3 linked regions of the Drosophila melanogaster genome follow. The protein of the gene in region 3 interacts with the protein of the main gene of each other region in a pairwise test. Each region holds a gene or a part of one and is shown on either strand. Other genes may lie near its edges.

What was found.
Region 1: the proteins of CG5446 (region 3) and CG32856 interact in a two-hybrid assay, tested with the Drosophila melanogaster proteins (one large-scale study listed by BioGRID).
Region 2: the proteins of CG5446 (region 3) and CG32809 interact in a two-hybrid assay, tested with the Drosophila melanogaster proteins (one large-scale study listed by BioGRID).

What each region holds. Positions count from the first base shown.
Region 1 is NT_033777.3:15,961,769-15,968,598, forward strand, and holds CG32856 (uncharacterized protein), read right to left. Parts: upstream 3,584-6,830; 5' UTR 3,417-3,583; coding exon 3,306-3,416; intron 3,252-3,305; coding exon 3,039-3,251; 3' UTR 2,910-3,038; downstream 1-2,909. Other genes in the region: CG4287 (uncharacterized protein), read right to left, coding at 770-1,771; CG5516 (uncharacterized protein), read left to right, coding at 2,283-2,329, 2,397-2,880; Rbf2 (Retinoblastoma-family protein 2), read left to right, coding at 3,838-6,189; mor (moira), read right to left, coding at 6,618-6,742, 6,807-6,830.
Region 2 is NC_004354.4:1,687,360-1,696,153, forward strand, and holds the start of CG32809 (uncharacterized protein), read right to left. Parts: upstream 5,410-8,794; 5' UTR 5,080-5,409; exon of another isoform or gene 4,938-5,079; intron 3,999-4,937; 5' UTR 3,954-3,998; coding exon 3,848-3,953; intron 3,775-3,847; coding exon of another isoform or gene 3,772-3,774; coding exon 3,721-3,771; intron 3,654-3,720; coding exon 3,514-3,653; intron 3,450-3,513; coding exon 2,841-3,449; intron 2,829-2,840; exon of another isoform or gene 2,520-2,828; coding exon of another isoform or gene 1,821-2,519; intron 1,765-1,820; coding exon of another isoform or gene 1,543-1,764; intron 1,411-1,542; coding exon of another isoform or gene 1,290-1,410; intron 1,216-1,289; coding exon of another isoform or gene 1,122-1,215; intron 747-1,121; exon of another isoform or gene 571-746; intron 1-570. Other genes in the region: b6, read left to right, coding at 1,122-1,215, 1,290-1,410, 1,543-1,764, 1,821-2,519; a6, read right to left, coding at 6,884-8,113.
Region 3 is NT_033779.5:12,424,221-12,431,466, reverse strand, and holds CG5446 (uncharacterized protein), read left to right. Parts: upstream 1-3,757; 5' UTR 3,758-3,899; coding exon 3,900-3,998; intron 3,999-4,079; coding exon 4,080-4,241; 3' UTR 4,242-4,836; downstream 4,837-7,246. Other genes in the region: CG5435 (uncharacterized protein), read left to right, coding at 680-720, 774-1,189, 1,274-1,395; Trm1 (tRNA methyltransferase 1), read right to left, coding at 1,495-1,669, 1,727-2,806, 2,870-3,324, 3,384-3,410; Fam92, read right to left, coding at 5,131-5,406, 5,458-5,928, 5,984-6,124, 6,179-6,338, 6,390-6,529.

The DNA of each region.
Region 1 (6,830 bases), on a different chromosome or scaffold from region 3:
CCGAGACGGAAAACCGAAAAGTATAATTTAGTTGTTTAATGATTGATAAATATTTAGACACCAGAGGATTCCTCGTAGCATCCTCCGGATGCAAAAATTGTCAGCTAGAAACAGAGGCACTCCCTGAAATGCCATAGAACATTTTCCACTCAATTTAAAACCAACGGCAGAACGTGGTGTTTCTCTGACGATAGCACCCTGAAAACTAAGCACAGCAAACGGAAAATAAATTAAACATTTTGTGTAAAGTTCGATGACAGACCGAAGACGACAGCATGAACACGTACGAGTATATACATAATAAATATATATGAGAACAATTTAACGAGATTAAAATCAACTAAAGTAATAAAGGGAAAGTGTATAACTATTAAAACTAACGAAACGCCAAGCTCTTTCATTTCGATTTTCGCATATTGCATTCAATTTATTCACAATAATTTTCGATACATAAATTACAGGATCTAACACTAAACGGATTTAATAAAACATATTTTTGGACAATACACAATGAATTAACAGTGGGGTTAATAAGCATGCGATTGTGCGCCAGTGGCACGCCAATTAATAATTTACAATATTGCAATTGACTAAAATCTGTAAATCTCATAGGTGTCCCCATATTTGCAGGGCAAATACCCTCGGACTCGAAGCGGGGATTGGGATTGGCTTCGCTTTGCTTACGGCTAGTAACACAATTTCAATGATTTTTCGTTGCCCTTACACCTCGGAACACTTTGCTAGACATTAATGTGCTTTTAGTGGCGGGTCACCACCGGGGACTACGTCGATTTGGTTCGGAACGCTCGTATTGGATGCTCTTGAAGCGGCTACTTGCCTCCAGATGCAGCTGCTGCTGTTTCGGTTCCGGATGTCCACGAGTGACAATGTCTTTCCAAATCATGGTCAAAAGTATGAAGATAGCACCCACAATCTTGTTCAGAAACTCGATTAGTTTAAACACTATTGGAGTGGCTGTATGTGTGAAACGACTCAGCTCAAACAGGAATCGCACAGCAAATACGCCTAGGAATCGTAGCGCTAGTGCGGCTCCACCCAAGGCAGAGAAAATTAGTAGACCCAGAAACCGAATGGTGCCCAAAATGTTCCTCTTGTTGACATCGTTGGTCATGAAGTCGTACACGGTTTGTTTGACTCCATCACCCCACTGTTGCAGCACAGCCAAAAAATCATTAAGGCCCAGCTGAATTTGCTCCGCCACTTCATCCGGCTTGGAGGAGGAGTTTTCCCCACCCGCTGTGATCGCCTTAACAGGGCTACTTCTATTAAGAATCAGTGATCTCCTCGGCGTCGCCATCAGCTCTGGCTCCACGGGCCTTATCATCTTCAGTTTGAACTGGACTTCATGGTCCCGGAAGCGAAGGGTCTTGATGCTAAACCAATACTCTCCAAAAGCCAGATCATTCATCTCTGTCCAGATGCAGGTTTCCAGTTGACCAGGATCTGCTTTGTGCTGGTAACTTCCGTAACTCCCATAGGTGATGCCCACCCACATATTGGGCACGAAGCGTTGATAAAACTTTTGTAATTGGCCGGCACTCGAGTGCAGCAGCTTCTCCAACTCTCGCTCACTGCGTTGAAGCACCACCACGTCCCGGTAGCCGGACACCTGCTCCACCAAGCAGCGTTCCATATAATAACCGCGGAAGAGACGAGACTTGTAAAGCTGCTTGGTTAGTGCTTGCATGGCCAGTTCCTCGGGCGGCATATGACGTCCGCTCGCCTGTGGCATCAACGCGCTGTTGTCCATGGCTAGCTGTGTATGAAATCCTTTATTACTGGTCAGCAAATGACCTGCAGCAACCTTACCGATTGATAGTGATTGGACTTTGTTGCAACCACTTTCGCCGCTTAGTCAGCACAGCGCTTTTGTTATTGTTTGACCAAGCAATTTGTGCCAGTCAATTAAGGGTGAAATAGCTGTCAGCTGTTGCTTATTTCTTATTTTTTTTACGACCATGCATAATGCACTTAAATTTTGGCTTAATTAACTTTAAAATTCAGACATTTCAACATAAACCAGGTAGACACAAATTAGGCAAGCAGCTGTTGAGTTCGATAGCCGATAACAATAAGGGTGACCATACCATATACAGTCGATTTGCGAAGTATACAATTTTCAGTGGACTATCGCTAATGTGACGAAAAAAATTATAAAAAACATTTTTGATACTCATTTTTCCCAGTTTTTCCACCCGGCCACGTTGGTTTCCACCCACATCAAGATTTCCTCCCAACAGCGTCTGCTCGAGTGCTTCAGGATGACTTTGGTGGGCCTAGCTGCCCGCAAATTAGCGCAAAAGAAGAGGTTAGTCGCGTTTAAGAAGTACCCCAGCCGGCTTTTTTGTTGTAACCTACGAATTCTGTAACAACAGATCCGCAAAGCAAGCAGCAGACTTTCCCAATGGCATCCGGTGCCAGAAGTGCCTGCAGATCGGACACTGGAGCTATGAGTGCAAGGAGAAGCGCAAATACGTCCACCGGAGCTCGCGTACCAAGCAGCTAAGCAAGCGTATGTCCCAAAAGGAGGCTGACGCACCCAAGAACCAGGTGGAGGAGCACTCGGAAGTGGCTTCCTCGGAAGGAAAGAAGGTCCGTCGAAAGCGGAAAACGAGCAAGAGCTCCTCGTCCTCCTCCAGCTCGTCGGACAGCTCAGACAGCAGCAGCGAATCGGGCTCCTCATCCGAATCAGACTCGAGCAGCTCCAGTTCGGATTCGGACGACGAGGAAGGCAGCTCGTCAGACTCCAGTGGAAGTGGCTCGGACAGCGACAGCAGCGAGGATCAAAAGCAGGGAGCTCCACAAAAAAAGAAAAAACGAGCCGGGAGTTCACCTGAATCTTCTGACGATCAAGAGTAATCAAGAGACCGATTTGTGGTCTGTAGTATGTAGCTTTACTAGTTTAGTTTTCCCACACTTACACCGAAAATGAACATACTTTTGGTACTGTATTGTTTATATTTTAATGCTCCCAACATGTACGTTTTTCTGGTAAAGTTCCAGCCTTAATAACAATTTTAATCCGAGTCGACTTCCTCCTCGAAACGCCTCATTTGGCTTACGAGATCCAGATCTATTTGCTGGCTGTTGACGAGATGGGACTCCATCACAGTTGTGATTGGGGACTGCTCCACCGACAGATCTATGTGGAGGGGATCCCTTCCAGGGGAGCACTGCGTTTTTGGGTTCTGCTGGCCCACCACCTGAGACTTGAGATGCAGCTCCTCTACCTGTGGAACACTGAATTGGGAAAACCGTCATTGAAGCAAGAGATTTGTAGATACCTTTAGTGAATTTAATGCCTCCTGAATGACGGGGAGCACTCGGTCGAGTTTCTTCTGGATAGCAAATAGTTCAGCCTGCTCTTTTTGAAGGACTCGATTTGTTTGCAGCATTTTGAAAACAAATAATAAACTTTAACCTTAGAAAGACCCCTTTTTAATGAAGGCCTTATATGGTATACTTCCAATGGACAAGGAAATAAATGAATTGAATTTAGATTACTTATAAAAACTAAATGATGTTAAAAACATGAAAGTATTTTAAAAGTCACTTGCTTTATGAGGAAATGTAATTAATTATTTAGTAAGTGAAAGCAATGGGTTAAGTATCAGCTATCGATAAGCCAGCTAAAGCAGCACTGTTGCAAAAGCAAAATTTCGATAACAATGGCGGTGAGGCAGGCAGCAATCGAAATCATTCGCGCCTTTCTGAAATTTGCATTTTGTACAGTCTAAACGGGGATTCGCGTAAACTACGCAGAAATATAAACAAACAAAAACTAGTAGACTATAGAATATAAACAGTTTCCTACCAATGGAGACTTGTGAAGTGGAGGGAGAGGCGGAGACGCTGGTGAGACGCTTCTCCGTCAGCTGCGAGCAATTGGAGCTGGAAGCGAGAATTCAGCAAAGCGCTCTGTCCACCTACCATCGCTTGGATGCGGTCAACGGGCTGTCCACCAGCGAGGCAGATGCCCAGGAGTGGCTGTGTTGCGCCGTCTACAGCGAACTGCAGCGCTCGAAGATGCGCGATATTAGGGAGTCCATCAACGAGGCAAACGATTCGGTGGCCAAGAACTGCTGCTGGAACGTGTCACTAACCCGTCTGCTGCGCAGCTTTAAGATGAACGTGTCCCAGTTTCTACGCCGCATGGAGCACTGGAATTGGCTGACCCAAAACGAGAACACTTTCCAGCTGGAGGTTGAGGAACTGCGTTGTCGACTTGGTATTACTTCGACGCTGCTGCGGCATTATAAGCACATCTTTCGGAGCCTGTTCGTTCACCCCGGCAAGGGTGCGGACCCGGGTGCCGCGAATCACTACCAAGCGCTGTATGAGTTCGGTTGGTTGCTCTTCCTGGTCATTCGCAACGAGTTACCCGGTTTTGCGATTACAAACCTGATCAACGGCTGTCAGGTGCTCGTTTGCACAATGGATCTCCTTTTCGTGAACGCCTTAGAGGTGCCCCGATCCGTAGTTATCCGCCGGGAGTTCTCTGGAGTGCCCAAGAATTGGGACACCGAAGACTTCAATCCTATTTTGCTAAATAAATATAGCGTGCTAGAAGCACTGGGAGAACTGATTCCCGAGCTACCAGCGAAGGGAGTGGTGCAAATGAAGAACGCCTTTTTCCACAAAGCCTTAATAATGCTCTATATGGACCATAGTCTAGTTGGAGACGACACCCATATGCGGGAGATCATTAAGGAGGGTATGCTAGATATCAATCTGGAAAACTTAAATCGCAAATACACCAATCAAGTAGCCGACATTAGTGAGATGGACGAGCGTGTGCTGCTCAGCGTCCAGGGGGCGATAGAGACCAAAGGGGACTCTCCTAAAAGCCCACAGCTCGCCTTCCAAACAAGCTCGTCACCTTCGCATAGGAAGCTGTCCACCCATGATCTACCAGCAAGTCTTCCCCTAAGCATTATAAAAGCATTCCCCAAGAAGGAAGACGCAGATAAAATTGTAAATTATTTAGATCAAACTCTGGAAGAAATGAATCGGACCTTTACCATGGCCGTGAAAGATTTTTTGGATGCTGAGTTGTCTGGAAAACGATTCCGCCAGGCCAGAGGCCTTTACTACAAATATTTGCAGAAAATTTTGGGACCGGAGCTGGTTCAAAAACCACAGCTGAAGATTGGTCAGTTAATGAAGCAGCGCAAGCTTACCGCCGCCCTGTTAGCTTGCTGCCTGGAACTGGCACTTCACGTCCACCACAAACTAGTGGAAGGCCTAAGGTTTCCCTTTGTCCTGCACTGCTTTTCACTGGACGCCTACGACTTTCAAAAGATTCTAGAGTTGGTGGTGCGCTACGATCATGGTTTTCTGGGCAGAGAGCTGATCAAGCACCTGGATGTGGTGGAGGAAATGTGCCTGGACTCGTTGATTTTCCGCAAGAGCTCACAGCTGTGGTGGGAGCTAAATCAAAGACTTCCCCGCTACAAGGAAGTCGATGCAGAAACAGAAGACAAGGAGAACTTTTCAACAGGCTCAAGCATCTGCCTTCGAAAGTTCTACGGACTGGCCAACCGGCGGCTGCTCCTTCTGTGTAAGAGTCTTTGCCTCGTGGATTCCTTTCCCCAAATATGGCACCTGGCCGAGCACTCTTTCACCTTAGAGAGTAGCCGTCTGCTCCGCAATCGACACCTGGACCAACTGCTGTTGTGCGCCATACATCTTCATGTTCGGCTCGAGAAGCTTCACCTCACTTTCAGCATGATTATCCAGCACTATCGCCGACAGCCGCACTTTCGGAGAAGCGCTTACCGAGAGGTTAGCTTGGGCAATGGTCAGACCGCTGATATTATCACTTTCTACAACAGTGTGTATGTCCAAAGTATGGGCAACTATGGCCGCCACCTGGAGTGTGCGCAAACACGCAAGTCACTGGAAGAATCACAGAGTAACGTTGGTATTCTGACGGAAACAACTTCCAACGAATTGAGCATGAGAGCCAACATCAGCATATCTTCACCGCCCCCTCCCAGGGTATGCCAAAGTGGCTCCTGCTCCAGTCATCCACCTTCATCTCCCGCCGCATCACCACTTTCCTTGCAAAGCTCGCCCAACGTAAAGCGTGCTGCTTCGAGTAACGACTTGATGAGAGAGATCAAGCGACCAAACATCCTGCGGCGTCGCCAGCTTTCAGTGATCTAATAACCAATCAAAAAAGGCTTAAATACTTGGCTGCATTTTACGCAGCTAGCTTAGTATATTTCTTAAACTCAAAAATGGTAATTAAATAATGTTTAAATTATAGATATTTTATTAACTTGTTCAAGTAAGTTAAAAGCTTTTGCTTTTGTAAAAATAAAGGAATAACTGCCACTCGTAGTTTAAATAAATTTTTATTGAATGCCTATTTTTCGGCTTTGAAACTTGGTTCAAAATATTTGTGCAATTGCTTGTAAACGCGACCGGACACGAAATGAAACTTACACAAAACTGGAGACGCGTCAATGTGTAGTGCATCTCCTTCAGATTACACACAAGAGTTGGGCTTAAAGTGGAGTATACATAATACATACTGAGAGCGTACGACTTAGAGCTATTTACTTTAACGTTTCCTGGCTTATGAGTAAGAGTTAAGAAGAGGGAGCTACGCCGGCGATGGGAGCAGTGTTCGCCGGAGGAATTCCCCCTGGTGGCATTGCCGATCCCGGCGGTGCGTTGGCATCTGACACTGGACCGCTGCTTGGTGGTGTAGTATCTATGGCGGGAGTTGGATGTCTAAGTATTATAGTTTATGAATTGTTATCCGTTAAAGTTCTTACCCATGGGTGTAGGTGCTTGAGATT
Region 2 (8,794 bases), on a different chromosome or scaffold from region 3:
GGTAGTGGTTGGGATCAGCCTCTCACCGTGACTTGCTTCAGCGGCAAGCGAGACAAAGGCTGCACAATGGTCACTGGGCGAATGCTATTGCATAAGCGGACAACGGGAGACGGGTGACGGACGTCGATCTTTTGATGGGCCACCGCTTCAGCGAGAGACCTTCGCTTGTGGGCAATGAAATTTTATTTGTGAATTTGTGGGCCACGCTCCGGCAATCGCACCTGGCTGCGACTGAGTGGCTACGAAAGTGAAAGGAAGCCCACTTCCTGATGCAAGTCGGCAGCACCCAGTTTGATGGTCAGCTATGATGCTGGTGAAGATTATGACGATGGTGCTGCTGATGTGGGACGAGAAGTGCTGCTGCTGCATAATGCCGCCCTCAAGATTCGTTTTGTTTTCAAACGTCTTGAATATGTTTGGATATTTTCAACTGCCCCAGGTCGTCGATGCCACCGCTGCTCTTGGCGTCGTCGCTGCTGTTGTTGATGCTGTTGCTGTTGTTGTTGATGCTGTTGATGTTGTTGTCTGCGTTGTTGTCGCTGCGGTCGCATTACATAAGCGATAATTTACCTGTTTCCAGTTGGATGTCGTCGGCATTGTTGGTGTCGCACTCTCAGCTGTGGGTAGCAGCTTAAGCCAATGCTGAAGCTAACACGCTTAAACCGAAGCTGAAGTTCAAGCGGCGGGCCTTAGCATTTGACATAATTCCAGAGCGTCAACTCAAGTAGTAGTGATCAGCAGCCAAGCTTCCGGATAGGAAGTGCTTTACTCACAGCCGGTGGTGATTTGGTGATTCATATTTAAATGTATGCATATCACATGTTGCCAGCGTAACAGGATTTGCCGCATGCCGGTTGTATAACCAACCGCCTGGCTCACCGCTTGGGCGGGTTTCCTGATCGCATCTGATCACCGATGGGGGGATTCCTCGTGGCTCGTGAGATGACTAGTTGCCTAGCGAAACGTTCTGGCCATTGAGCCATCGAGTTGTTGGTAGTAGTTGGGAACGCTGCTCCACTCAGTTTCGCAATCTGAGCCGCCGTTACCATTATTGGCATGAAAGCGAGTCTCAAAGCCAATCTGATCCACTTATGCATCCACATCCACATTCACACTTGCAGCTGGAAAGGAACCACGCGAGGTGCAAATCTGGGTCGCAAATGCGCAGAATTCCAGTTTCCTTTCGATGGCCATAAAAGGTCAGCAAATGTACAGGTAAGTCTAGACGCAACCATCCATCGATCAATCCGGCGTCAATCCGTCGAATCTTTATCGTTTTTCTGCTCAAGATTGAACTACCCGTTGAAAATGCGCCAGTGGCATCACATGTGCAGCTCGTGGAATGGCAAGACGGGCGAGTGGCAGGCCTGGCTGAAGGCAGAACGCATTGGGCGTGGTTTCCACAACTCGGTGAGTTTGACTCCATTTGACTCCAATTACGCATATTGCAAAATGCCTTGTTCGCGTTTTCACTTTCGGCGTGCGAATGTCAGCTGCTATAATCTCAAATCTCCGTCTCCACTTAATTCTTAATTGCTTCAGTTGGTGGGACATAAAATCCCAGCGAATGGCAAGCTGCGCTCCGGCGGCAGTTCGGTCACCGGCGAGGTGAGCCACGGCCTCCACTTCGAGATGACGCTCGTCCAGGTCTATCGGGTGGCGCTCAGTGCAGGCAAGGCGCATCGCGACCACAAGCACCACCATGTCCACCACTTTGATCACGAGGGCCAGGAGGTCTCCAGCACCACTCGTGCCCCACCCTCGGTAAGTTCGTAACCAGTGCCCACGGAGACAATATAACACGCCAGACCTCCATTCAGATTAATCGTCCTCAACCCATGCACACGCTGCTCGCCAGTGGCCAGATCCCGACCCGGGTGCGCATCAACTTGGCCAATCCGCCGCCGACTGCAAGTGGTGCTCCCGCTCCTGGCGCGGCCGGAGCTCCGACCGATTCCGCCCAGCAGGCCATCACCATCAACACAAATTTTGTGAACGGACAGATAAACGCGGGATCGCGACTGGTGGCCCAGCAACTCCTTGGCCTCTCGCCGCCGAGCGGATTGCAGCCTAGTGGCGGTGGCAAACGCTTCCAAATGCTAAGTAACTCAGCCAACGTGCAGTTCATCGACGAAACGGAGACCCACATCCAGTTCAAGAGGAACACCGACGCCACTAAGAAGGTTCAGAAGCGCGGCCTGGTGCTGCTGGACGATGGATCTGTGGTGGACGACGGTGTCGGTTCCGGAACGGATGGGAGCTTGATTTACAACGGTCTCGCCGACTTTGGCGGACAGCAATTTAAGCAGGATCTTACGCTCAAGATGAGCCTGGAGGAGGAGATCAGCACGCACGACCGAGAGCCCGCCGAGGAGGAGGTAAGGGCCGTGATGGCCATCTGTAGCAGCTGCCACACGGAGCCTTTCCAGGGTGCCATCGTGTTTTCGTGGAAGGATGTGCGCGAGCACATGAACAACGCCCTCAAGGGCCTCAGTGTGGGTCCATGTGGTAACTTCTAGTTGTTCCCAAAGTTCGGATAACATTCTAGTGTCCTAGGACCCCAGCTTAAGCTTTCCCAGCCCCACCCCATTATTTCCATATCTTTTTTTTTTCTATATATGTACGAATAAGTATTCGATTGGTTGGGCATCTTGTGCCACAATTGTCCATGTGGGAGTCAACGCTTTACTGTTGCCACCCATTTGGCCACCAAACAATCCTTGACTCGCTCATGGACACCAATCCATCCTGCTTCCCTAAGCCCTACATCCTCACCCTAGCAATTACGCGGTGATATTGAATAAAGGACTATTTAACTGATACCATCTAGCAGCACTTACCTTTGATTTGTGGATATGCTGGTGCTTGTAGTCCGAGTCGAACTCCGGCTCGCTGAAGTAGCTCTGATCCTGATCCCAATTGGCCTGCGCCTGCGGCAGGGGTTGGGGTATTCCAGGGCCGCCGGGCAGAATCTGGGGCGGGGCTGCCACCTCAGTGGACTCAAAGAGACGCAGCACGGAGCGATCCCTGATCTCGCGCAGATGCGAGCGCACGTCCTCCAGCTCGTAGAACATATCCTTGCTGGCATCGTGAATGTAAATCTTCACATTGGGCCCCTCCAGATATGACATGGTCAACTGGCGCGGAAACGAGCGTACGAACAGGGCGCGCACCGTATCAATCGAAGTGATCTCGTTGGGCAGCAGGGCGCGCTTCGTCTCCGAGCGGTACTGCAGAAAGACCAGGCCCAGCGGTCGTTCCAGAGTTTTCGAGGGCGTGCGTACCACGGGGAGCGAGGAGCGCTGCTTGCCGCCCCTCCGGAATCCGGTGCTGGCCGTTTCCACCTCCGACATGATGCCGGGATCGTCGTCGAACAGCGGTCCCTGGTTAACAGGCGCATAACCGCGCATCGGCTGGTTCTTTTTGTTCTTCTGCGCGCGCGTACTCATCTAAGAAGGGACAAGAATCAGAAACTGATGGTAGAAACGAGTTGAGATGGGAGATGGAGCTCACCTCCAGATCCATGGCCCGCTGTTGCTGGGGCGCCATCTGATGGGCGTGTGGATGCTGCGAGCCGTAGACCAGCATATCGCCGCCGAGCGTATGTCGTCGTGGATCGTCGCGTCGCATGGCTCGTCGTCTTTCGTCGCCACCTGGGGAAACACATAGACACTGAGGATGGGGCTACAGATCCGTGGACGTCTTTGGTCCTTAACATACCCTGTTCATTCGACGGAAGCCGTCCCGACTTTGCCTCATTCTGCCAGTCTTCTTCTGAAAGAGAGGGAGCTGGAGTTAGGCTCATTTCATTTCGCTTCCTTCCGATTTATGGATTCCGATTACTTACCGCCCTCTCTACCCTTGCGCTTCTTCTTCGACGAGGAGCTGCTGCTGCCGCCGACGCTCTGGTTGGAGGAGGCGCTCTTGTCCTTACTCTTCCAACGGATCAACATCCTGCAGCCGTTTGAGATGTGCGGAGCTCAGTGGCTATGTTGCAGCTGCAGAAAATGAGAGACAACGGGGCGTATGGGTAACGTGAAAATGTCCTTATTTTTTTGGTCTTTGTTTACGTTTGGTACCGGCAACAACACGCTAAACCGCACACACACAACATGCAACTTTGGTGTAGATAAACCATGTATCCTCGCACATTCTTTAACAGGGTGTGGTGGAATGGAGTGGAGCCTCGCAGTGGCAGTGCCAGTGCTCAATGCAAAAAGTATGCAACGGAGTGCGCAAACTCTGCTCTGCAACACGGAATGGAGCAAGAAAGCAGGACAGAGCGGAAGGCGTGACTGGAGCTGGATCTGGAACTGCATGCGGATCTGGATCGGGACCCCAGAAATGCGGCTGGCAGAACAGACAATAGTGTTGGCCGAATACAATTGTTCATCGCAGTTGCCATTAAGATGCCATTTGCTGAGAGAACACGAATCACTTTCGAATTTGTTTTGCATATGTAAACGTTTTTGGAGTTGGAAGTTGCTTTAAACAAGGCATGTCAAGTTATTTTGGCTGCATGTACATGTTTATCTCGAGCAAGAAATCCGAGGAAGGGGCACCAAAAGGAAACGGACGCAGAGATGGGTACACACGAAACATGGTATACTTTTCAGTGCAGCACTTCACGGGTTTTAGTATGCCTTTGCCTTTGCCAGTGCCAGTGCCTGGGAATATGTACACAGCCACCCACATTCACTGCCCATCGGCATTATTGCGGGCCACTAAAGGAATTTTTGATTAGTTTTAGGTGCGGTGCCCCGGCCCGTTTTTTCCCAGCCGCCATTAATTGTGTCAGTTGCGTCCAGTTTCCAGGGCACGAGTGCACATTAAACACGGTGGAGGGGAGCTCGTGTCTGTTGACTTTTCCACACACGTCAGCGGTCAGTTGGCTGGATTCCTTTGGGTTTTCATGGGGGATCTCGTCCTAGCTGTACCTTGTATACCTATGCACCTTTGGGGGTGTGTGGGCGGTTCACCGGCGATGTTTCTGGCATTTTCTCAAACCGCACTTGCCTTGCCGATTCAGGAAGGTTTCACAATTAACGGGTCTAGGTGCTCATAGCTCGAGGAGCTCACCGATTTAGCCGTGTCCTTAGGATAAAGATTCGATTCAATTCGCTTCGCTTTGCACTCGTCACTACACAGCTTTCTGGAGTCAGGACACGGCACTCGTCCACCGACGCAGCATAACGCCAGAAGAGCAGAAATATTTCTGGTATATCTACACCGGAAAGCGTTTCCGCCCTAGCCGAACGAGGACTGCGTGCTTGCACGGCGCATGCGTTACCAATCGAGTGTTCCCGGACCAGCGAAGTTCCCTGGCATCCAGCCGTCAGAGGTCCTGGCATCCCTGCATTCCGACGCTGCTCTGTTGTGTGTGTTTACCTGGTGCCGGGGCAATCGAGTAATTTTCTTGGCGGTTGAGCGCATGTGGCTATCGAATGGCTCCAATCGATTACTGGGCGGAAGGCCTTTAAAAACAGGTGACGAAACACATGCTTGTCCTGCGCCGGCTTGTTTATCCGGGAGTAGCCAGGATTCCAGCGGATGTCTGGGCCCGCAGCCACGCCCTGGTGGAGTTTCCCGGCCAGTGGCCTCGCTGTGAGCAGCACCAGTTTGAATCGGACATGCGGGTCATCAGGGACTTCATCACTGCGAAGGAGGAGCAACTACTGATGCGGGAAATCGAGCCTCACATCAGCCGCTTGCCGTACGAGTTGAGCCACTGTGATGACGTGGGTGGGTATATATAGAGACTATATAGTATCGGATTTCTGGCTAAACTTCTTAAACTTCGCAGGCAGATACCGCGAAGTTGAACGCCGAAAGTGGACTCCCCAAAACCAGGCCACGCTGGATCACGTCTCGTGAGTTTCCTTCGGTGAGCAGGTCATGCCCTTCGTGCACATCCTGGACTTGGCTGACTCTGGCGCGATCAAGCCGCACGTGGACAACACTCGAGTGAGTTTGGCCACAGAAGATGCAACTCGATTTCATTTTCATTTACGATTGTATTCGACAGTTTTGCGGCAACACCACTGCGGGCATTAGCATGCTCAGCGACTGAAGCGCGTGACCAAGGATCCCATGACTTTGTCAGCCACTCTGAGGATCTGCTCCTGCCGCAACTCTCGCTCTATATTAAGAGTGCCCTAGCGCGATACGAGTTCACCCACGAAATCCTGGCCAGAGATCAGTCGTGGTTCAAGGAGCGCTTGGTCGAAACGAACCTTGATGGCATACGCATAGTTTCCTTTTCTCACAGCTGGTGTACATGTATATATATATATATATACAATGAAAATTTATTCCGGTTTGGTGATCAGCTAATGTAATACAGACGGCGGACTGCGACGGATTACACGACGTGATTCAGCCATGTAATATATGATACACTAAATCAAATGTACATATACATAGTATATCTTAAGCTAGCTACTTGTACTTTATAAATATTGGGCTCACCTTTCTCACTCGCTTCAAATTTTCTACTCCCTCTTATAATCTTTTGAAATTTGTGTTTTTTGCTCAACAATGTATATGGGTTGATGCTTTTCTACTTTCATTTGTACGTTGTCGTCTCGTTTCATTTAAAGCTTAAAATATGAGAATGACAGAGACAGGGAGATTAATGGGCAACTGAGTGAGATGGAGAGAAGGTGCTTGGGAAAGGGGAAGGATACAAAAATCGACCGGACAAGGACTAGTCCTGGATTCAAGGATAACTGGGAAATAGTGATGTGTTGTCGCTAAACCTACGTTCATATTTGCACTTCTAGCCACTGCTAGTTAAAGTCTATGCCGTGCTTCCGGCTCGGGGAATGATATTATGGCGATGGGGACTCGGTTCTGGCGGGTCATCGGTCATCAGTCATCCAGCTCATCCCAGTTTTCGGCGCCGCGGCAGCTGCAGCGGCAAGGCAACAACGGAAGCAGACGAGGTCGGATTTGCTGCCATCACCGGAAGGGCAAGAGCCACTGGAGCTGCGAGTCCGCCGCCGACGTACTGCAGATGCTGCACCACCGAGAGCTGTGGCTGCTGCTGCTTGAGCAGCTTGGCGGCAGCGTGTGCCTCCGCCGCAGCCACCACGACGGGGTGCACCGGTTCGGTGCCGACTCCTCCGTTGACATGTGGACCGGTGCTTTCGCAATCGTCTTCGTCTGAGATCAGTGATATGCTGAGGTCGCTGGACAGTTTTAGGGAGATGGGCGTGGGCGGCGAGGGAGCCACCAAGGGCGCCACTTTGGCGCGCAATGCCGGTGACAGTTTCTGCAGCTGCTCCGGCATCAGGTCGTTCGTGTATTCCGGCACTCCACTAAAAGCCAGGCCTTCGCGTAGTTTGCTCAGCGAGAGTTCGTAAATACGGTTTGCGATGACCGTGTGAACGGTCGTCTCGTCCGGCAGCGTGGCTGTGATGCCTCCGCCCACGTCCACCTCCAGAAAACAGCCCGTTTCATTGCCGCCCTCTCCGCCTTCGGCGGTGGCGAATCCATTGCTGGCCGCCGTCGACGCTCGACACGGCTTGGGGTGACCTGACACCCGCGTCAGGCAGTTGGCAGTGGTGGAGGTGCGCGGCACCAACGAAACAGTTACCTCTTCGATGGTCTCCGACTGTGTGAGCGGTGCGAGCGGTGGCGGTGAGCGCATGGAGAGCTGGGAGCGCACTCTTGCCGTGCTGCTGGGTTCCTGCTCGTTGTGCTCGTCATCGCTGGTTATCAGGATGCTGTCGGTCACTGGGTATGAGTGGGTGGCAGCTCTGCGCGGCGCCTGCCTTCTGCCCGTTCTATGTGCTCGGTGCCCTGGGGCAGGAATCAGGAGGCGATTGTGGCCAGCTGCAGCGGGCTGTCCGGCCGATGGGGTCTCATCGTCATCCGACAGCAGGTCGATGGTCACGTCCGGCTGCAAAGTGGAGGCGACATGGCGCCGCTGCAGATGGGACAGCTGCCGGTCAGTCTTGGAGGCGAGAGCCACTTGGTCGCGCATCCGGGCCATGCAGATCCGCTGGTGCTCAAGCAGGCGTTCCATCCACCGACAGCGGCGCCGCTTGAGACGACGGTTGTCGAACAGCCGGGGCGATATGTAGAATGGTTCGGAATGTTTCTGGTTCATGTCTATAGGCGGCAGGAGAAGAGTTAGTCTGTGACGCCTGGTCGGCCACTGGTGGGCACCTATTTACCGAGTGTGTGGACTCGTCTTCTAGCGGTGGCGGTGCCTGCCACGGGTTGTCAAGGGTCATGGGCTCGGGCCCGTGGGGCTCCTCCTCCTCCTCCTCTTGCTGTTCCACTGGCGGCGAGTACAGTTAGATCCACTGCTGCAACTTGCATAATTGCGTGGCGGCGCAGGGGGATTTCCTTGAGAGGAGCGGAGGCGCGGGACTAGGCGCTGCGCCTCCCGCCGCTGGACATGCCGAGATGCGAGCGGGGCCGAGATGGTTGTTTTTTCGCGCGGCAGCTGCTTAATTTGTGCTTTTGTTGTACTTTAGAGTTCTGTTTATAAAACTGCATCGATAAGCGACCACACATCGATAACGCTTCTCTCGATAGTCCACGCTGCGTGCAACCGTGCACGTCGACTGGCCAAACAGTATCTGTCGGTAGTTATCGATAATGCATTCGCCACTTGGGCGCGCTATTTAAAATCAGCTAGAGAAAATAATGAAGCTTCGAAGCAAAGGACAGAAGGATACAAGTGCTTTGGATCACCAGCAAATCCAGCGACTTGGACACCAGGTAGCCCCGATAAAATTCCTATTAAGTAAAACACTCTTATCTCAAGACAAAGCACTCAAGC
Region 3 (7,246 bases):
TGCAGTTGCAGTTGCCGTAGCCGTAGCAGCTTCCTGTTTCCTGTTAGACGCTGGCGCTGCCAAAGCTGCTCCAGATTCACTCATAGTTTCCCGTTTCCCGTCACTTCTTCTCTCGCCTCGTCTCGTCTCGTCTCAACTCGCGATTTGTTGCTGGTTGGCGTTGTTGGTGTTTTCCTGTATCTTGGTGGGCGTCCCTTTTGAGTTTAGGCGAAAAGTCATCATTTGCAGCAGAGGCCACATCGACGATGCGATGGATGCTAGAGTCTGGATTGCATACTGACTCGACCGAAATGTGGGATTCCCTAACGATCTGGTACATTCGGTAAGTGAGAGAGCTAACCCTTTGAATTTGCAGCCTAATTAAACGCTTCAATAAAGTTTTACTTGATTATAACTTAACCATCTACATATGTTATTAATTGGTTGAAATGGGGTTTTAAAACATATATGTATCTTGGAATATTGTAAAGAAAGATCTAGTATCTTCGGATGCCCAGAACATCCATCCATTATGTTTCGGTTTCTATTGACTCCCGAGAAACATGGTAGTCGGGGGGTATATTGACAAAGCAGTTGCCGGGAAACCGAAGGCAAAATCACATATACCCAAGTCCTTCTGAATACGATTCAGAAACCCTTTTACACTTTCATCTAAATTATATTGGTTTCTCCTGCAAAGATGATTCAGTACGATACTGTGCAGATCAAGAATGTATCATGGTAAGCTTTAGTTATGCCCGACTTGGCTCAAGATGACTATTGTGTGCTCTCAGGCAGCCGGAACTGCATACGGAGGGCACCTATGTGTGCTCTTTTCCAGAGCCCCCGCTGCCGGAGGCCCATCTGAAACCGGGCACCTGGCATGGCCATCTGGAGCCGTATCAGCGGCTCTTCTATCATCAAACGATGAACTCGGTGCGCTCGAGCAAGCGGTACCGTGCCAATCCGAACATCCCGAAGGATACGCTGGACTTTTCGCTGCAGTCGCGCTACGATCACACCCGCGAAGCATTTCCGGACAAGGTGGACTACGTGATGCAGAGGGAGACGTGCCGCGCCATAAGTAGCTGGTCAGCTCCTGGGGCGGCCAAGGAAATTGGTTCCCAACTCAAATCATTTCGGGTGTTGCGCAACACGCGCTTCATTCGGCGCAAGCAGGAGGACGTATTGGGTCATCCACTTCGCATAGGTAAGATCACAAAATTGGTACAAACCTAAAGTTCTCGACGCATTTTAAGTAACACCCACTTCGAATCTAATCATATTGTTGCAGGCGGTTGTAAAGAAAAGATTCATCCGCACAGCGTAAAGCTCATTTGCAGCGGTGTCCACAACCAGCTGGTGAACAATGGATTCTCGCGCCAGACCTCCGACGGCAACTTCTTCCGCTATTAGTTCCACAAATCTGTGTTTGCTTTCCCAGAAAGAATACCATTTTGCGTTTTGGGTTTTACAAACATTATTGGAAATAAATTTGGGACACAGAAGCAGTCGTCACGCAGTCGCCTCCAGCTTGGGCTGCTTGGGCAGGTGCTCCACATCTCCATCATACTCATCCACTGCTTGTGGAGTGTCCTGTTGGTCATCCTCCGCCTGTTGCTCCGACGCTTTGTGACGCTGTTTCTTGTTCTGGTTACGATAGCTCTTGGGTAGTTTGTTGTCACCAATCCTGAAATTGGATGGGAATTTAGTATGCGAAAGTGGGTGGCTCGATTACTTAGCTTACATAATAGTGGCTCTGGTTCCAGGTCCCCAATGTGGAGTCGGATTCTCTTGGAAGCGCGATAATGCCGATTTGCGACTCTTCGGGTTCGCCTCCGGATGGAGTTCATCGAACTCGTAGACAGCAGTGCATTCTTTCGAAAGTATGGCCGCCAGTGGAGATCCAGGAATCATCCTTTCGGGATTTACCGGATGTCGCTTGCTCCAGCTGCGCAGAATGTCCCATAGCACCGCTGGTGGAGCATTGGTTTTCAACGAATTCTTCGAGGCATGCGAGTATGAGACTCGATAGCCAGCGTGGAGAATAGCAGACCGGAACTTTAGCATGGGCACGATTTCTAGCTTGAGCACACAGCACAGTTTGTCCGGCGTGTAGTAAAGGGGAACATCCTGCAGCTCCTCTTGGACCATGGAAAGAACTCCAACGATTCGTCTCTGGGTTCCCAGCGATTGCAAGGTGGTCTCCTGGACCGCCGTTAAAAGATCCTGCACAAATTCGGGGTTATGAATCGGTGCCGACCAGATGGGTCCACCCAGATGATGCCTGTGACCGCAATGTTCGCACTGCGAGTTGACCGCCGGACCAGTGGGAATTCCGAACTTCAGCTGCTGGGGATTACCAGCCGTGGGATTTGGCTTGGTTATGCCCAAGGGCTGCAGCGTGAAGGTCTCACATCCGGTGCATTGGTATATCCAAGACTGCTTGCTCATCGACAGCTTGCATTGGGCCTGGCCGACGTACACACGCACAAATATCCGGATGTAAAAGTCCGCTGATATGCTCAGTAGTGGTTCGATGTACTTGCCGTACCTGTTCGCGTGGCTCTCGATGCAGTGCAGCAAAATGCGCAATGCCATCTCGTGACAGCACTTCATCCGCAGCGGAACCGATCCGTATTTTACATAGCAAGCTTCCGGAGCATTTCCGGCCAGCACGGCCATGTCGGTGGCTGTCACCAGCAGCAGGCCGCCGTCCACCAGGCACTGCATAGCGCCATCCAAAAAGCGATTGGGACATCCGTACGGATCCAAGTCAACTGCATCAAAACGCTTCTCGGGTTGCGTCGAAAGATACATGAGGGTCCTGTACGATGTATTGGAATGCCCCATTTTATACCGTGTGCCAATAGCTTAATTATAAACCTACATTGCATCGGAGTGACTGGGCTCGATCAGCTCCTCCACCTTGTTGTGCCGGATGTTTGTGTTGATCGAGGCCACTGCCTGGCGGGAAAGATCGTTGGCCACGATCTGGCGTACACCGGCGATTTCCTGCGCGTAACGGATGCTACGCAAACCGGTGGCTGCCAGTGCCTCCAGGATCCGAAGTCCATCCTCATATCGAGTACCGGCCTCATAAACAGGTGGATCCTCGGGAACGGGAGTGGTCTTCTCATCCTCCTGTTCCTTGACCTTCTTCCGCTGCTTTTTGAGCGCCTTTTCGCTCCGCTCCTTGGTCAATCTCTGTCGATAAACATTCAGAGCAGCAATGCTCAGATCTCGATTGAATTCCTGGACAGGATTGTAGAACACATTGCCGCCGGAAACGATCTCCGCATTACGTTCGCGTATCACGTTTTCGTTGGGATTTTCAGCAATAATCTGCAATCGTAATGCTTAGCTTAATGTGGTTTATTTATAATGTGTTTTTCTTTAAGAACCTGCGGCTTTTCCTCGTCCACTTCCATTTGGATGAGTTAAAAGAATACACGTGGGGCAGTGTTGAAAAACGTAAGCTACTAGCTATTAAGCTTTAAAACTAAAAATATACACAAATTTGTTGTTTTTTATATGAAATACGAAATAAACATTACAGAATTATATTTAAGTTTAATTTAGTTTCAAAATTTACAATTTGGGTATATTCTCTGTAATAATACATCCCATAAAATGATGTTGAATAAAAATGGTTCTTAATATTTATTTGAATTATTTAAAGATTAAAATAAATTAAAATAATAAATTGACATTAAATATGACTGGAAAATAAAACTTGAAGCTAGCTACTTTGCCACCACCAGGATTATCGAAAGGACTATCGAACCAAAGTCCGCCCCTATGCTTGATAAAGAAATTAATTTGCAGAAGTGAAACAGCCGCAGCCGCAAACAGAAGCAAAAGAGCTAGAAGTGATAGCATTTTTGTACTTTTATACAGTGCCACAAAGAAGCCACAGAATGACCGATCTGCGCAACGAGATGGACAGCGATCTGGACCAGAACTACTCCCTGAACAGCAATGCGGACCCCAAAAACATGCAGGAGCTGACCATATACGTGAGTAATGCCCGAACCGGGAACCACCCAGTAAATAGAGACACCAAATGAGCACCCAGTAAACCTGCCTCCTGTTATCAGGTACAAAATCTGTTGCAGAACGTTCAGGACAAGTTCCAGACGATGTCGGACCAGATAATAACGCGCATCGATGACATGGGCAACCGCATCGACGATCTGGAGAAGAGCATTGCGGATCTGATGAACCAGGCCGGGATCGAGGGTCAGGGACCGGAGAAATGAGATCCGTAGCGCTGGCACGGCCACGCCCATTCGGAAAGTGCATCCCAATACCATTAGATACATACATCGAACACCTGGCACCCAGTCACCCGTATCAAGTTTACAATTCCAGGTTCTCACATTCATTTAATCTCCTCCGCACCCAGCTGCTCCCCAAGAAATGAAGAAAAGAACACATTTGCTCATCCATTTATTGCTTAGTTTTAAGTTTCGCCCGGTCGGGGCACATCATAATTTAAGTAAAGTAATTCTTTTGTGAGCAATGGCCAATAATTTTGAATTATTGCCGTTTAGTTTCTATTTATAAATTAAAAATTCAAGAATTGTAAATTCCCTGCTATTTGGGTGTTCAGGACTTCGATTTAACAACGGTTACCAGGCGACCAGTTCCCGATTTGTGTTTCCTCACCTGAAAGTTTATTGCGAAAAGGGGAAGAGAAGCGCGTCATTTCCGCTTGATTAGTTATGATATGCATATATTTAGTATTGTTTATCTGGGACAAATAATGCAAATCGTGACCCGTGTCCATTAATAAAAAGTGTATGGAAATCAGCGCTGAATGGCAAGGAGTGCTATATAACAATCCCTACTTTTAAAAGGAAAATCAACATTGATTTGTGGACCAGAATGATTTTCGAATATTAATTGCAATTTGTGTTGCTTCTACATATCATGTTTTTTAAGGCAATGAGATAGAGAGTGGTAATACATTCTGATTAAATTATGAAAGGAAGCTCTGAGACTGCGGGGTTACAAAAACCAATTAAGATAAACCCTTAGAAGTATGTTCCTAATTCAATTTTATTTAAGCTCTTGCTACGATTCCAGAATGTGCCTGCAATACTGATGTGAGCTCTAGGAACTCTACTACTGGTCATAATTTGAGTGCTAGTGCTGGGGCACGTGGAACTGCTTCTGCAGCCTTACATGGGTGGAGGCCACCGCCTTGAATGGATGTTTGACCGTTTGTCTGCTGGGCTTCGAAGGAGCAGAAGTGGCACTGGCACTGGTCGATGGCGTGGCTATATCCTTGCTGGCAGATCGGATCTTGGCCCCAAAAACATTCTCCCGCGGAGGAACCTGGTTGCCCGGCTGCGTGGGTTCCCTCTCGTCATCCGTTGCCGTTCCAGATTCCTCGTCCTCTTCGCCACTTTGCTCGGTTTCCTTGGGAGGAATGGAGTTATTCTATCATTCCATAATCATGCCAAATCATACCTCATCTTCATCATCTTCCTCTTCATCCTGCTCGTCGGTTTCATCTTCGGGTTCTGTTTTACTTCCATGATTGATTCCGGCTCCCGTCAGATTCCTATTGCTCCTGGACAACTTCGGGCGCCTCTTGAGCGGACTGACCAGGTGCTCGTGCTCCAAGCTATCCATCGACTGGGAGCGCAGTCCCTTTTTGAGTGCAGTTTTCCTGGAAGCCAGCTCTTCTTTGGTCTTCATGAGTTTCTGAAACTCAATGAAATCGTCGCGCTCATCAATGGTTCCAATATCATAGTAGCTTGCGCTGAGTATCTCCAATGCCTTGGTGTGCTGTTTCATGGCGATCAGTATAAAATCGCTGATTATCTGCTTTAAGTCGCGCAACTTCCGCTGCTCGAAGTTGCCAATAATGTCGTCTATCTCCTTGTTTGTGCGCTGCACCTCCATTTTGGCCTTAAACAGCTCCGAATCGGCGGCACTCTACGGTAAGTTTTGGGAATTATATAAGAAGTAAATTGTTCGTTTTAATACCCACATTGTTCGCAGAAAACTTTGACTTGAGCTCAAGCATCTGGCGCTGACGTAGTACCTCCTTATCCCGCGCTATGACAGCCAGTCGAAGATTGTCCCTTGTGGACTTGCAAAGCTGCTCGAATTGCGCCAACTCGTTGACAATCTACATAAGTCAATAATATGATATAAGATGCAGATTTAAAAAAGGATAATTCACCTTGTGTTCCAATCGGTGTACATTGATGTCCATGTAATCACCCATTATGGTAACCGCGTTGGTGAAGCTCTTCAGTCCCTGACAGAGACTCTCGTTGATTTCCTCGTCGTCGGCGTAGCTCTTCACACTCTTGGCCAACTCATCAAAGGAGTCCCGATATCTGCAAGGTCTTATGATTATTCATTCAGATTTATTTATTTACCAAACTCACTTGGCCATTTTCCGCGTTACCAAAGCAAACGAAGAGCACATCTCCATTAGATGCCTTTCTGTTATGTTTATGCGCTCGTTTATTATTTTAACACGGTCATCTTTGGTGTTTAGAAAGGATAGTTTTCCACGACGAAACATTATTATTTTATTTTAGTCCCTTATATTTGTTTTCCTTCTTTATTTATTTTATTTCGACAATAAAATCAAGTGAAAACCGTTACCAAGGCAACGTCTAAATTCATCTGGCAACTCTCGTTCGAACAGCCAGCATATTTCCAGCTCTGTAAAATTAACAGAAATGTTAAGAACCTACTGCTGCCAGGTGGCGCTAGTATCAGCGTCTTCTGCAAGTACATAGATGGCGCAAGAATAAAGTTTATCAAGGAAATTTAAAACATTCTAAAAATATTCAATCCTAAAATAAATATCTGAATATGGGTACTTCATTTTTTTCCAACAGTGTCAAGGTCAAGAGCACGTTTCGTTATAATCTGTGAGTGTTTCTGTCTGTCATCCGGTGTCTAAATTTAAATTCGAAAGATTTATGACTAATTAAGAGACTGCAAATGATAAAGAAAAATATATATAATTAGTATATATAAAAAAATAGAAAATATACTACGATATTTACCTGAAGATCATAGCATTGTAAATAGTTTATTTAAAAACAAGTCAATCTGATATTTTAAAATATCGTTGGTCCTAAAAGCCAAGCTTTACTCACTTAAATATATGTAGGACTAAGCTGACTCAAATTCTTCTCACTTCGAAGCCTTGACAACCAAATCTTGTTTTTTGGGGAATTTATTGACTCGACCGCAAGAATGTTGTGTCAACGATTAACCGAAAATGGTA